Linked DNA regions of Sus scrofa. The protein of the gene in region 2 interacts with the protein of the main gene of each other region in a pairwise test. Links are inferred from orthologs where the notes say so. Each region holds a gene or a part of one and is shown on either strand. Other genes may lie near its edges. The genes, in order: CNOT11, CNOT1 and CNOT4.

Region 1 (3,651 bases), on a different chromosome or scaffold from region 2:
CAGCAACATTTCTATAGCGACTAGAGGGTTGTTTTCCACTAGGTCAGGAAGTTTGGCTGGAGTGAGACCAATATGATAAACGAGTTTGGGGTCTTTTTCCAACTCTCCCAGGAGCTAAATACAATCAAATTTTCAAAAAGAGAAAAAGGTTCTTGAGTCAGATTACAAGTTCTACATGCTACAGTTGCAGCCAAAAAAATAGTTCTATTTCCTGCATACAAAAAAAAAAATTTATACAGAAGACATTTTTATCTGCATTGAACCAACTTCATGAACATCCTCAAACCCATGATCCCCATGCTTTGATATTTAAAATTTACATTTGAATTGTCAGACTGTCTTGTTAGGGCCACACTAGCAGCATGTGGAGGTTTCCAGGCTAAGGGTCGAATCAAAGCAGGAGCCGCCAGCCTACGCCACAGCCACACCTTGACCCACTTAACAAGGCCAGGGATCGAACCTGTGTCCTCATGAAGCTGGTCAGATTCATTTCGGCTGAGCCACAAGGGGAACTCATTTATTTATTTATTTTTGTGAAGTGTCAGATACTAGCATCATGCACCTTTCCTAATAAGAGTATATAAATACACTAGTGATTACTCCTGGCATTAAACCAGAATCAATATTGTCTGATCTGGATACAATACTGTCTGATTTCTAACAATACCATCCTTAAATCTTTCATGGGTTTTTTTTCCCCTGTCATTTGTTATAATCAAAAATAGGAGTTCCCGTCGTGGCGCAGTGGTTAACGAATCCAACTAGGAACCACGAGGTTGCGGGTTCGGTCCCTGCCCTTGCTCAGTGGGTTAACGATCCGGCGTTGCCGTGAGCTGTGGTGTAGGTTGCAGACGTGGCTCTGATCCCGCGTTGCTGTGGCTCTGGTGTAGGCCGGTGGCTACAGCTCCGATTCTACCCCTAGCCTGGGAACCTCCATATGCCGCGGGAGTGGCCCAAGAAATAGCAACAACAACAAAAAGACAAAAAAGACAAAAAAAAAAAAAACAAACCTAGGAGTTCTCTTGCAGCTCAGCAGGTTAAGGATCCCACATTGTCACTGCAGCAGCCGAGGCTGCCACTGGGGTGTGGGTTCAATCCCTGGCCCAGGAAATTCACATGCTGCAGGTGCTACTGAAAATAAACAAGTCATCTTTCCAACTGGAAGTCATGAAGAGCACAGAGCTCTTCAGGGAACATGAGAAGCCAGAGCCCTGCTCAGCTGTGGAAAGACAGATCCTCGAGGGGGGTCCGTGTGGTTCTTTACTGTGCAGGTCACACTCTCACCCAAGTGGGGCCCTCCAAGACCAGTGTTTCTGCCAAAGCAGTGCTTCCTTCAAATTTTCTCTGCCCTTGCCGTCTCCTTGTATATACCATGTGTTGTATTTCAGGATGGTCTAGTCAGTGAGCAGAGTCAACTGTGAACATGGCTAGTATGTGACTCTGACAATGGTATTTTGGGTGGTAAAGTGGACTGCAGCTCTATCCTCTGACAAGTTCTAAGGTGAAAGTGTGCAAACTGAGTAACACTCACCCACGGGAAGCAGCTGCAGTGGCCCACCTTTCCCCCAGGAAGAGTCCTGTAGTTGAATCTCGAATCCAGCACGAAGCAGCTGGGAGGTGGGCCCGGCGTCCCTTCCTGGCAGAACGTTACAGGTCTGCTCACCCTCCTGCAGCCCCATGCAGCTCAGTAACAACGTACACAACAGGACCAGAAGTGAGCCCTGTCCAGAGTCACACTGACTCCGAACACAGGTGCTTTGTTTTCAAGTCACCAGATAAAATGAGCAGTGCGGGAGGCAGAATAAAGCTTCAGAGACCAAAATGCTTCCCACTGCTGGCTCCAGTAATACGACACTGTCAAGATGCCACTTTATGGAAAACAAGAACACTTGCTGAATGTTTACAGTACATACCTGTGTTTGCTGAGGAGAAGATAAGGGGCTCTTGAAGGCTTTGGCCATTATTCGTTTGATTTCCACACCAGTGCTGTTCTTCACACACATTGACCTGTCCCACTGAATCGTATGGTCAGGCTCCGTGGGGTTCAGCCAGGCCAGCTCGTCCTCGCAGATGTGCAGGGGAGGTGGTGGGCGAATGAACTCCGGCCGGAAGTGGCCTGGAAAGAAAACAGCATGTCTGCTTGTGCCCGTCTGTACACACCTCGCAGACACCCCTCAACCCAGTGCAGTGACTCTCTTAATAAGGACAGCACTTAGGTAACACTGACTTCAGAAGCAGAAATGAGGAGGTCAGGGTTTTATTCAGAACACAAGAAAATGAAAGTGACGTAACGTTAGATTTGGTTCCAGAGACCAAATCTACCTATTTGGAAAGGAGAGGAAAGCATTACCACAACCCACCAACTCCTAGTTCAAGCATGATCACCACTCAGTAGCAAAAGGACACAACTTCCTACCTCAGTGTCTTTTGATGGAAAAAAAAGTACTCTCTGATCTCACTCATCCTATTCTCAGCAGAGACTGTATGATGTGCACTAGTTTTATTTTTGCATCTTCTGACCTTGAAGTAGCAGATTATGTGGAGATGAAATGGCAGAGGAAAAGTATGGCTGACTTTTGACATTCTCAAATGAGTCTGGGGCCCTCCAAAAATCCCTAAGTTCACAAACGTTGTTATCATTCTCATAAGGGTACAACAGGATAATAAAAGTGACTCACTATAACACCTTAACTATTTTATGAAATATTGATCCCTAAGTTTTAAACCCACTAAAATAAATGCTAGCTAGAACTTCTGAATGAAGGTCCCACCTCACTCTGGTTTCCACATAAAGCCCAAGATGGCTTACCCCTCTCAAGGACCCAGCCCCTGCTGAATCTGACATTTGTATATACTCTAGTTTACTGAAAATGTCCGTTTTCTGGCTAAGAATCACCCCTTTATTGTGGAAAAAAGGAAAACCTCTTTCGGTGGGAGTGTAAGTTGGTGCAGCCACAATGGAAAATTTTTTTTGAGTCTGGAGTCTCCTCAAAAAAGATTTTGAGTTTACATGTGATCCAGCAACCCCACTCCTGGGCATCTATCTGGAGAAAAACATAATTCAAAAGGATATATGCATCCCCCTATGTTCATTGGAGCACTATGCACAATAGCCAAGACATGGAAGCAACCTAAATGTCCACTGACAGGAGTGGCTAAAGACGTGGTATATACACAATGGAATACTACTCAGCCATAAAAAGAATGAAATAATGCCATGTGCAGCAACATGGATGGACCTAGAGATGATCATACTGAGTGGAATAAGCAGATTAAGACAAATATCATATGATATCACATATGTGGAATCTAAAATACGACACAAATGCACTTATCTATGAAACAGAAACAGACTCAAAGAAATAAAGAACAGACTTGTGGTTGCCAGGGGGACGGAGTGGAGAGGGAGAGGATTGGGAGCTTGGGATTAACAGATGCAAACTAGTCTATACAGGATGGATAACCAACAAGGACCTACTGTAGAGTACAGGGAGCTGTATTCAACATCCTATCAAAACCGTAACGGCAGAGAATATGAGGAGTTCCTGCTGTGGCACAGTGGGTTAAGAATCTGACTGCAGAAGTTCCCGTTGGGGGAGAGAGGAAGAGAGGAAGGAAGGAGTATGAAACAGAATGTACCCACATGTATAA
Region 2 (3,651 bases):
TTCTAAGAGCCTGAGCTTGGGGGTTCATGGCCAAAGTTGGTGGGATGGCGTGAAGGTGCTGCTCCAGTTCTGTAATGCACTTATCATAAATCTGAGCTACATCATCTGCCCAAGCATGCTGTTTTAGAGGGGGATACAATCAAAAAAGAGAAAAAATTTTAATGATCTTCTACCAGCACATGTAGCAAATGAAAAGTCTACTGATATGTTTACTATTCTTATTTATTTTTTCTTTCTCATCAAAACATGGAGGGGCTTCCACTCCCCTTCCTGAATTATTAGGACTTAATGCCATTAGGTATGGCAGTGCAAAGCAAGCATGGAGGAGTGGGGATTTCACTTGACAGTGGAAAGCCTGGCAAACACCAACACAATCAAGTGATGAAAGAGAACATGATAAATAACGGGATATGGGAGTTCCCTTCGTGGCTCAGCGGTTAGTGAACCCAACTAGGATCCATGAGATGTGGGCCTGGCCTCATTCAATGGGATGAGGATCTGGCATTGCCATGAGCTGTGGTGTAGGTCACAGACGTGGCTCGGATCCCACTTTGCTGTGGCTCTGGTGCAGGCCAGCAGCGGCAGCTACAATTTGACCACCTAGCCTGGGAACTTCCATATGCCGCTGGTGTGACCCTAAAAAAGCAAAAAATAAAAATAAAAAAAATAATTTTTTTTAAAGATAAATAATGGGATAGGCTGAGGGCAGGACCACCTGTAGCATTTAATAATCTCTACAACCTATGAAAGTACATAATCCAAACAATGAAAAACAAACTATTCAGTCCAACTGTCAAACCCTGACAAGATAAAATAAGAATAGAGCATCATTTCTGTGATATTCCTATCAAAGATGCACTACCTGAGAACACACTGAACAAATCCAAATCACATCATTCTACAAAATCACTGATCTATAATGTCAAAGTGTCAAGGTCATGGAAAGATAAGAAAGGAGCTATAGTAGACTAACCTGTGGGAAAAATTTAAATATGACAACTAAATAAAATGTGTGATTCTGATTTAGGTCCTTCTACTACAGAAAGTCAGTACTGGGACACTTGGTAAAACTTGAATGAGGTCTAAGGATTAGATGATATTAACATATCAGTGTTAACTTCCTGATTTCAATGATCACACCAGGTCACACAGGAGAACGCCTCTGTAGGAAACACAGATAACAGGACTGAAGAGTGACTGGGAGGCACAACATTGTAAATCAACTATACTTTAAAAAAAAAAAAAAAAAAAATTTAAATAAAATATTGGGGAAAAAAGAGGGACTGGAACATCAAGGTCAGTACCTGTCCAAATGTTCAAACAGTTCAAGAAGGAAATGTTTCCTCCTTATATTTTCAACTTTTCTGTAAATAACATTTCACATTTTTCCCCCTTTATTTTTAAGGCCGCACCTGCGGCATATACAAGTTCCCAGGCTAGGGGTAGAATCAGAGCTGCAGCTGCAGGCCTACACCACAGCCACAGCAAGCTGGATCCTTAACCCACTGAGTTAGGCCAGGGATTGAACCCGCATCCTCACGGACACTGTTGGGTTCTTAACCCACTGAGCCACAAGGGGAACATTTGTTTCACATTTCTAGAAAATCTCTTTACAAAGAATAGGGAAGGCCATGAGATCACTACGTAAATTCCTTTAATTAGGTCAGACATGAAAGTTAAATCAATCTCATGGATTTAAAAAAAAAAATCCTGAATGCCATGCTGATTTGATACAAAGAACACCTATAATCTACAATTCAACAATGCTGGGTAATTTTTTCCCCTGTAACTTAAGCTTCCAGGAACAAGTGACAGATTAATTAATTAATTCAAAAAACCATTCAATGTAAACTATAAATTACTCAATTTAAGTCAAGACAAGATTTACCTTCATGGGCTGAGCTAAAAATCCTGTGGGCTGGCTTAAATCATTTGTAGGCAAGAAGCCAGGCACATTACGTGCAAACTCTTCATAAACAGCCAGCTGCTTTGGGTCCACACCACCAACCTTGGAAGAAGAAAATCTATTTTACAGGATCCTCCTCACAATCAAAGGAAACTTTTTTTTTCCAACTGGAAGATTTGCATGGGAGTAAGCACAGGCAGGTATTCTTGAGAAGGGACACAGGAGCCATTACAACATTTAACAACATGACTGAATATGTGTGCATACTCATTACATTTAACATGACTGAATATGTATGCATACTCATTACAACATCTAACAACACAACTAATATGCATGCATACATACACATGCACAGTTCACAGTATTTCCTATTTCCCTGAGAACTGTCAGTGTTGTCCTCATTTATAAATTAGAGTTTTTCTACTGAAAATGTCCCAAGTAGGACCATGCCAGTGTAATTCTCCAATGGAGCTGGTAGAAATGATCAGATCTTTTCACCAACCGGGAACTAGTAATAAAAATTCAAGCTCCAGAAGGGAAGAACAAGTGGGGAAATATAAAAACCAACAGGCATATGAACTCTTAGCAGCATTTCAACAATGCGGGGAGGGGTGGAGAAAAGACATCTAAGTTATTTCTATGCCTTTTCCACAGGTAGCCTTTAAGTGAAATGAAATGCTTTCTCAGAAACAGCATTTAACCCCATTATCCTAGTCCAGGTTAGGAGTTTAAGCAACAAGAACAGGAAAAAAACAAAGATGGGGCAGAGAGACAAGAGCCCCCAATTCTCACTTTTAGCCTGATTTGCTCTGGCATCCGCTCAGCTTGGTATGTTAACACAACAGGATCACAGTACCTGCGCCCTTCTTGCCTAGCATGTTTTCTCAGCTCAAATTCCTGCAAATAAAAAAAGTCACTGAGGTTCTTGTTATGAGGCAATTTCTTAAATGGAAAAAAAAAAATACTTAAAAGGCAAATGCTAAACACTTACAGTTGCTAATCTCTTGTCCATCTCAGGGCCTGCTTTTTCCACTGCAGTCTTCTGAATAAAACAGCAAGCTAATTCACAATTGTCCTGAGCTAACTGAGCAGCTGCCTGATCCATCATTTCCCTTTGTTGTGGGGATGCAGTCTATTGGGATGGGGAGAAACAGGAAAAAAAATTTTTTAAGTTTTTTGTGGCTAGACAAAACAGGATAATAGAAAATAAAATGCTTAGAAAATTCTAGAAGTTCCAACTTTACTTATGACTCATCAGCTGTGACCATGAAATAGTCTAACAATCATCCTCATCTATAAGATGAAAATATTCAACCACAACATCTTACTATGCTGTTGTGAAGATGGTAAACACTATGAAACAGTAAAGCAGTAAACAAGGGCATTATCCAACCATGACATCTGAGACCCCAAATTAATAACTGAGTTAAGAGTGTGTTTGTGTGTGTGTGTGGGTGGGTGGGTGCGTGCAGCACGCATACACAGAATCACTTTAAATTGTTTTGTTCTGTCCAACCTCTGAAGTGCTTTAAATTTAGTCTTTATGGTTTGGGGGAGGGGAACTCCAATTGCATCTTTCTCTCCCTTCTCTCCTTCCCTGGATTATTTAAAAAGCCATGTGTGGAAACCCACTATTTAATAAACATAATAGAATCAGAAAAATAAATAAACAAAATAAAGTCTTTACGGTAAAGAGAATCAAGACTGTTAACTTAGGCAGTTTTTTTTTTTATTCTTAAATC
Region 3 (4,107 bases), on a different chromosome or scaffold from region 2:
ACCAAACCCCAGGAAATTATGAAGCTGCAATGTTCGTAATGTTACATCTAAAAACTTAAACCATACAAAAATATTTTGAAATCTCAGCTACCTATTTCCTATTAAAATGTCAAAGAACTTGAGCTATCTTCTTTAAATGTGTTAAAGATACCAAAGTAAATTCATTTTGACTTCAGAGTGCTGAAACCAAGAATTTGATGATTGCAGGAAAATAGTATGGAGTGAAGAAAATTACTTGAGAATGTTTTTAGTGAAGCAAAGTATCTTTACAAAAGAAAAGATGTATTAAAATCATTTCCCTCTTCTGCCAAACAGTTCTCTCCTAGAACACACTGCTTACAATTCAGCCAAGTATGACTGCCAAGGGTTTCTAAACCTGTGTGTTAGGATTATTCAAAGTGGAAAGCTTCTCCATCATTCAAAGAAAATTAAATATATTTTTTGCTTAGAGTTGAAGATCAATTGTATTAAATATATTCCTACTGATAAACTAAATATTAATAATACTTAAAAAAAATCTCAGGTTACAACTTAGGACAAGGTTTGCTATATAAATTGCTTCCAATTCTCAGAACGGTAGGAATTTATTTAGTTTCCACAATTTGAGCCTTAAGTGGCTGAAAGGAAAAATGAAGTTTCATAAACAGCTTTACTAACCTCAGCTGACACTTGATAAAACAGACCATTTATCATAATCAAGTGAATATAATGCCAAATGTAAGATTCCTCAAGTATTACAGATAAAATTGTAAAAATCACATTAATACAGTAATGCCCAAAAGTGATTAAAAAGGCAGCTATATGTATTTACATTTATACTTGAGGTATTATTACTTTCGCAAATAAGAGGTATATTGCTGCATGAGATTACTACTATGACTTTTAATATTTTTACATATATCTTAAGAACACAATGTTTATGTTTAAACTTGAGCTGTACATATCTGATCTATGTAATTCTGTTTGCTGTTCTGATAATTCTTTATTTCACAGCAGTCTGATTATAGCAAAAGCTCCCTCTTCCCATTATGCCATTAATCAGTACATCTCAATTTAGCTTTCACCAAAACAGACATCATAAGCCATTCTTGACTTCTAGTTTTCTGCTTTTTAATATAAATACTAATGACAATGAATGCCACCAAATGCACATATGTGCAGAGTTTGCCATTTCTTTTTCCAGTCTCCTTCTTTTCTATGGAAAAAATGAGCGATTTAGTTTTGAAAATCAATTTTTCTTTTGCATACACACCTAGTGGTTTTCAAGAGAAGATAATTTACTCAGATACCTACCGTCCTAGAAATATTAAAAGAAAGAACTTTCCAAATCCAAAAATATTAGGTAGATCTGATATAATCTGGAGAGGAAATTTCCACTCAAACTATAAATAAAATGTCATCAATTAAGCTGCACATCAATAAAACTCACTGAGCCAATAATCAATTCTCAATTTGGAAGGGTTCTGTAGCCCACATAAAACCTGCATATAATCAAACTACCACTGTTAATTTGCTTGCGGAGTTCACAGATAAATTTGGTTGTGTGCCAGATTTATCTTATTTTGAAATGCCTAGGCTAATATTTGTTGGTGTAATCAGAGCCCACATTAAGTGTCCTGGGGAGAGGCAATTCAGAAGAACGCTAGACAGCATGGAGAAACCGGTTCAAAATGAAAAGAGAAAGGAGGGGGAAAAAAGCCAAAAAGCAAAAACAAAAAGTCCCAACAGAGCGAATAATCCACAACCAGATCCCTGGAAACAAAACGAAGACGTTCCTCTCCGGGGCAGCCTGAATAAACGATCTTCACTCACAATGTTTAATAGTATCCTACCTCACTTCATTCACTTCCCAACTTCCTTGACTTCTCGGGGGCCAACACGGGGCATCCCTTTTTTTTTTTTTTTTTTTTTTTTTTTTTTTTTTTTCTGGAAGTGTATGTTGAAAGAATCTGTATAGCAAAGAGGGAAGGAACGGACAATACCCAAGAAAGCTGTGAAACAGGTGGGTTAGTACAAGCAGCAGCGTAATCTAGATACTTTAAGGGGCAGCTTTAAAATGACAGATGTGGTTAAAGGAAAGACTGCAAATCGGAAGAAGCTCTAAGGGTAGCAGGTAGGCTGGGGCTAAAAGCAAGCACGAGAGGGGGGCAAAGGCTAACTCCAGAGTGGTAGCAGGGAGCAAAAAACAAGCAGCAGCACGAGTGGGCAACGAGCAGTGGGATTAATGAGCAGCAGCAACACAGGTCAGAGTGGAAGTGATGGCTTTGGTCTTGGGAGACGGGGGCCACTGGGAAAGGACGTCAGAGGGGCGAAAGGGGGCTGGGAAAACAAGGAGTCCTGAGACCGAAGATTTCTTGCCCCTACAAAAATGTAGGGGAGAGCGTTGAAGACGAGCAGCCTCCTCGGCTGCCCAATTAAAGAGATTTTCGAAGCAGTCGGTGCTCGCCGCCGCGCTGCCTTCTGCCCCGCTCCCTTTTCCTGGTGGTAACTGCTGTGGCGTAGAGGGAAGAGGGAGGAAGAGGAGGAGGAGGAGGAAGACCAAGAAGGAGGAGGGTGAAGATGAGGCGGGGGGTGGGGAGAAAGGGGGGTGCGGCCTGCACAGTCCCAGCGAAGCCTCCGCTCTCTCGTAGCCGGTCAACCCCGGGTTTCCCCTAAGCCCAGCCCCGCATAGACTCACCCGCCTGCCTTGCCTCGCTTTTCCCTTAGCCGACTCCACGCGGTGCCGCGTCCTCACAAGAAACCACTGAACGAGTGTCGGGGAAAAAACTCTTCAGAACCGGGCCTGATTGCCTCAGCGAGTCCGACCTTTACGGCTGAGAGGGAGACTCTCAGCTTTCGGTGGGTTCCACAGCCAGACGGGCCACCATCTTACATTAGGGTAAGACTCCTCCGGCCTCCCGTGCGCAGGCGCACGCCGATCCGGCCAGGAGGGGCGGGGGAGGGGCGGGAGGAGCGGCCGGCGGCCGGTCCCGCAGCACCCTGGGAGTTGTAGTCCTCGGAGGGTAACCGCCCAGCTGCAAGCCGGGAATTGAAGTTCTCACTCGGAGGGCGGACCGGATCGCCTACCTCACGTGGTTGCCACACTACTGCCTTTCTCCGTGTTTTGCTTCCTTTTCGGCCCGGTGCTGCTTCTCTTGTCATTTGGTCGGCGGCCTTCGTTAGCGGTTCCGTTTCCTCGGTGTTGCTCAAATATGGGAAACCAGAACTCGCGGCGGGCGTAACCAATTTGGGGGAGCTGAGACCTTCTCTTTTCTGACCCCGCCTACCGTAGGTATTAAAGGAGGCAGGGTAGAGGCAGGTGGAAGGTAGGAGGGGCGCGGGATTTGATCTAGGGTGGGAATTGGATACTGAATTGGCATCTGCTTGTGGAAGGTGAATGTTAACTCGTTTCCCCTGTTTGTGCATTTTGGAGCCACCACCCTTGATCCGATCTTCACCATGAATCTCCAGTGAAAAGATACTCTAAATTATCCTGTATATACGTACAAGAGAACAGAAGACCCATGCGTTTACAAAAATGTGTTTCTGATTATATAAATTTGAGAACATTTTACGGATTTAGGTGCAAATTATTTTAAGTTCGATTTCCAGCTTGCACAGCTCTGCGCGCAGAGTTCACAAACCCTTCATACATCCATACATCCCAAGGAGTACAAGAATGCTCTCGCAATCCCAAAGAGCGCCGAGGAATTTTCAATCTCAAAAATCAATTTTCTGGTCCCTCCCACATGCCTCCTAGAATTCTGATGGAAGTGGCCGCTTGACGCAGTTGGTTTTGCTTGTTGCGTGAATTCTTCACCCATTCATGCAACAAATACTCAATGAGCTCCCCCTATGTGCCCAGCGCTGTTCTATACATGGGGAGGTGACAGCCAGCAAAATGACAAAATTCCTCTTCCAGGAATTCCTGTGTCTATTCTAGTGTGTGTGTGTTAAGGTGAAATAAAAGGGAAAGGAAGCAATTTTTAAGACATGATTAAAATGCATATTATACGGTAACTGATGAAAAAAATTGAACAGAAGGGGAATAGGGAAAGAGGTTGCAATTTTAAATCTGTAGACCTAATCTCATTGAGAAGACTTCATTTAATTTTTTAAAAATACGTT

Evidence for each region.
Region 1: the proteins of CNOT1 (region 2) and CNOT11 interact in binary tests that used the Homo sapiens proteins (3 or more experiments, as listed by UniProt). The link is inferred for Sus scrofa from reciprocal best matches to the Homo sapiens genes CNOT1 and CNOT11.
Region 3: the proteins of CNOT1 (region 2) and CNOT4 interact in a two-hybrid assay, tested with the Homo sapiens proteins (3 studies listed by BioGRID and IntAct, with this or other methods). The link is inferred for Sus scrofa from reciprocal best matches to the Homo sapiens genes CNOT1 and CNOT4.

Annotation. Positions count from the first base shown.
Region 1 is NC_010445.4:53,067,694-53,071,344, forward strand, and holds part of CNOT11 (CCR4-NOT transcription complex subunit 11), read right to left. Parts: intron 2,117-3,651; coding exon 1,914-2,116; intron 115-1,913; coding exon 1-114. UniProt on the Homo sapiens protein: Component of the CCR4-NOT complex which is one of the major cellular mRNA deadenylases and is linked to various cellular processes including bulk mRNA degradation, miRNA-mediated repression, translational repression during translational initiation and general transcription regulation.
Region 2 is NC_010448.4:20,288,745-20,292,395, forward strand, and holds part of CNOT1 (CCR4-NOT transcription complex subunit 1), read right to left. Parts: intron 3,042-3,651; coding exon 2,901-3,041; intron 2,826-2,900; coding exon of another isoform or gene 2,823-2,825; exon of another isoform or gene 2,807-2,822; coding exon 2,702-2,806; intron 2,009-2,701; coding exon 1,889-2,008; intron 1,163-1,888; exon of another isoform or gene 974-1,162; intron 119-973; coding exon 1-118.
Region 3 is NC_010460.4:13,820,389-13,824,495, reverse strand, and holds the start of CNOT4 (CCR4-NOT transcription complex subunit 4), read right to left. Parts: upstream 2,924-4,107; 5' UTR 2,678-2,923; intron 1-2,677. UniProt on the Homo sapiens protein: Has E3 ubiquitin ligase activity, promoting ubiquitination and degradation of target proteins. Involved in activation of the JAK/STAT pathway. Catalyzes ubiquitination of methylated RBM15.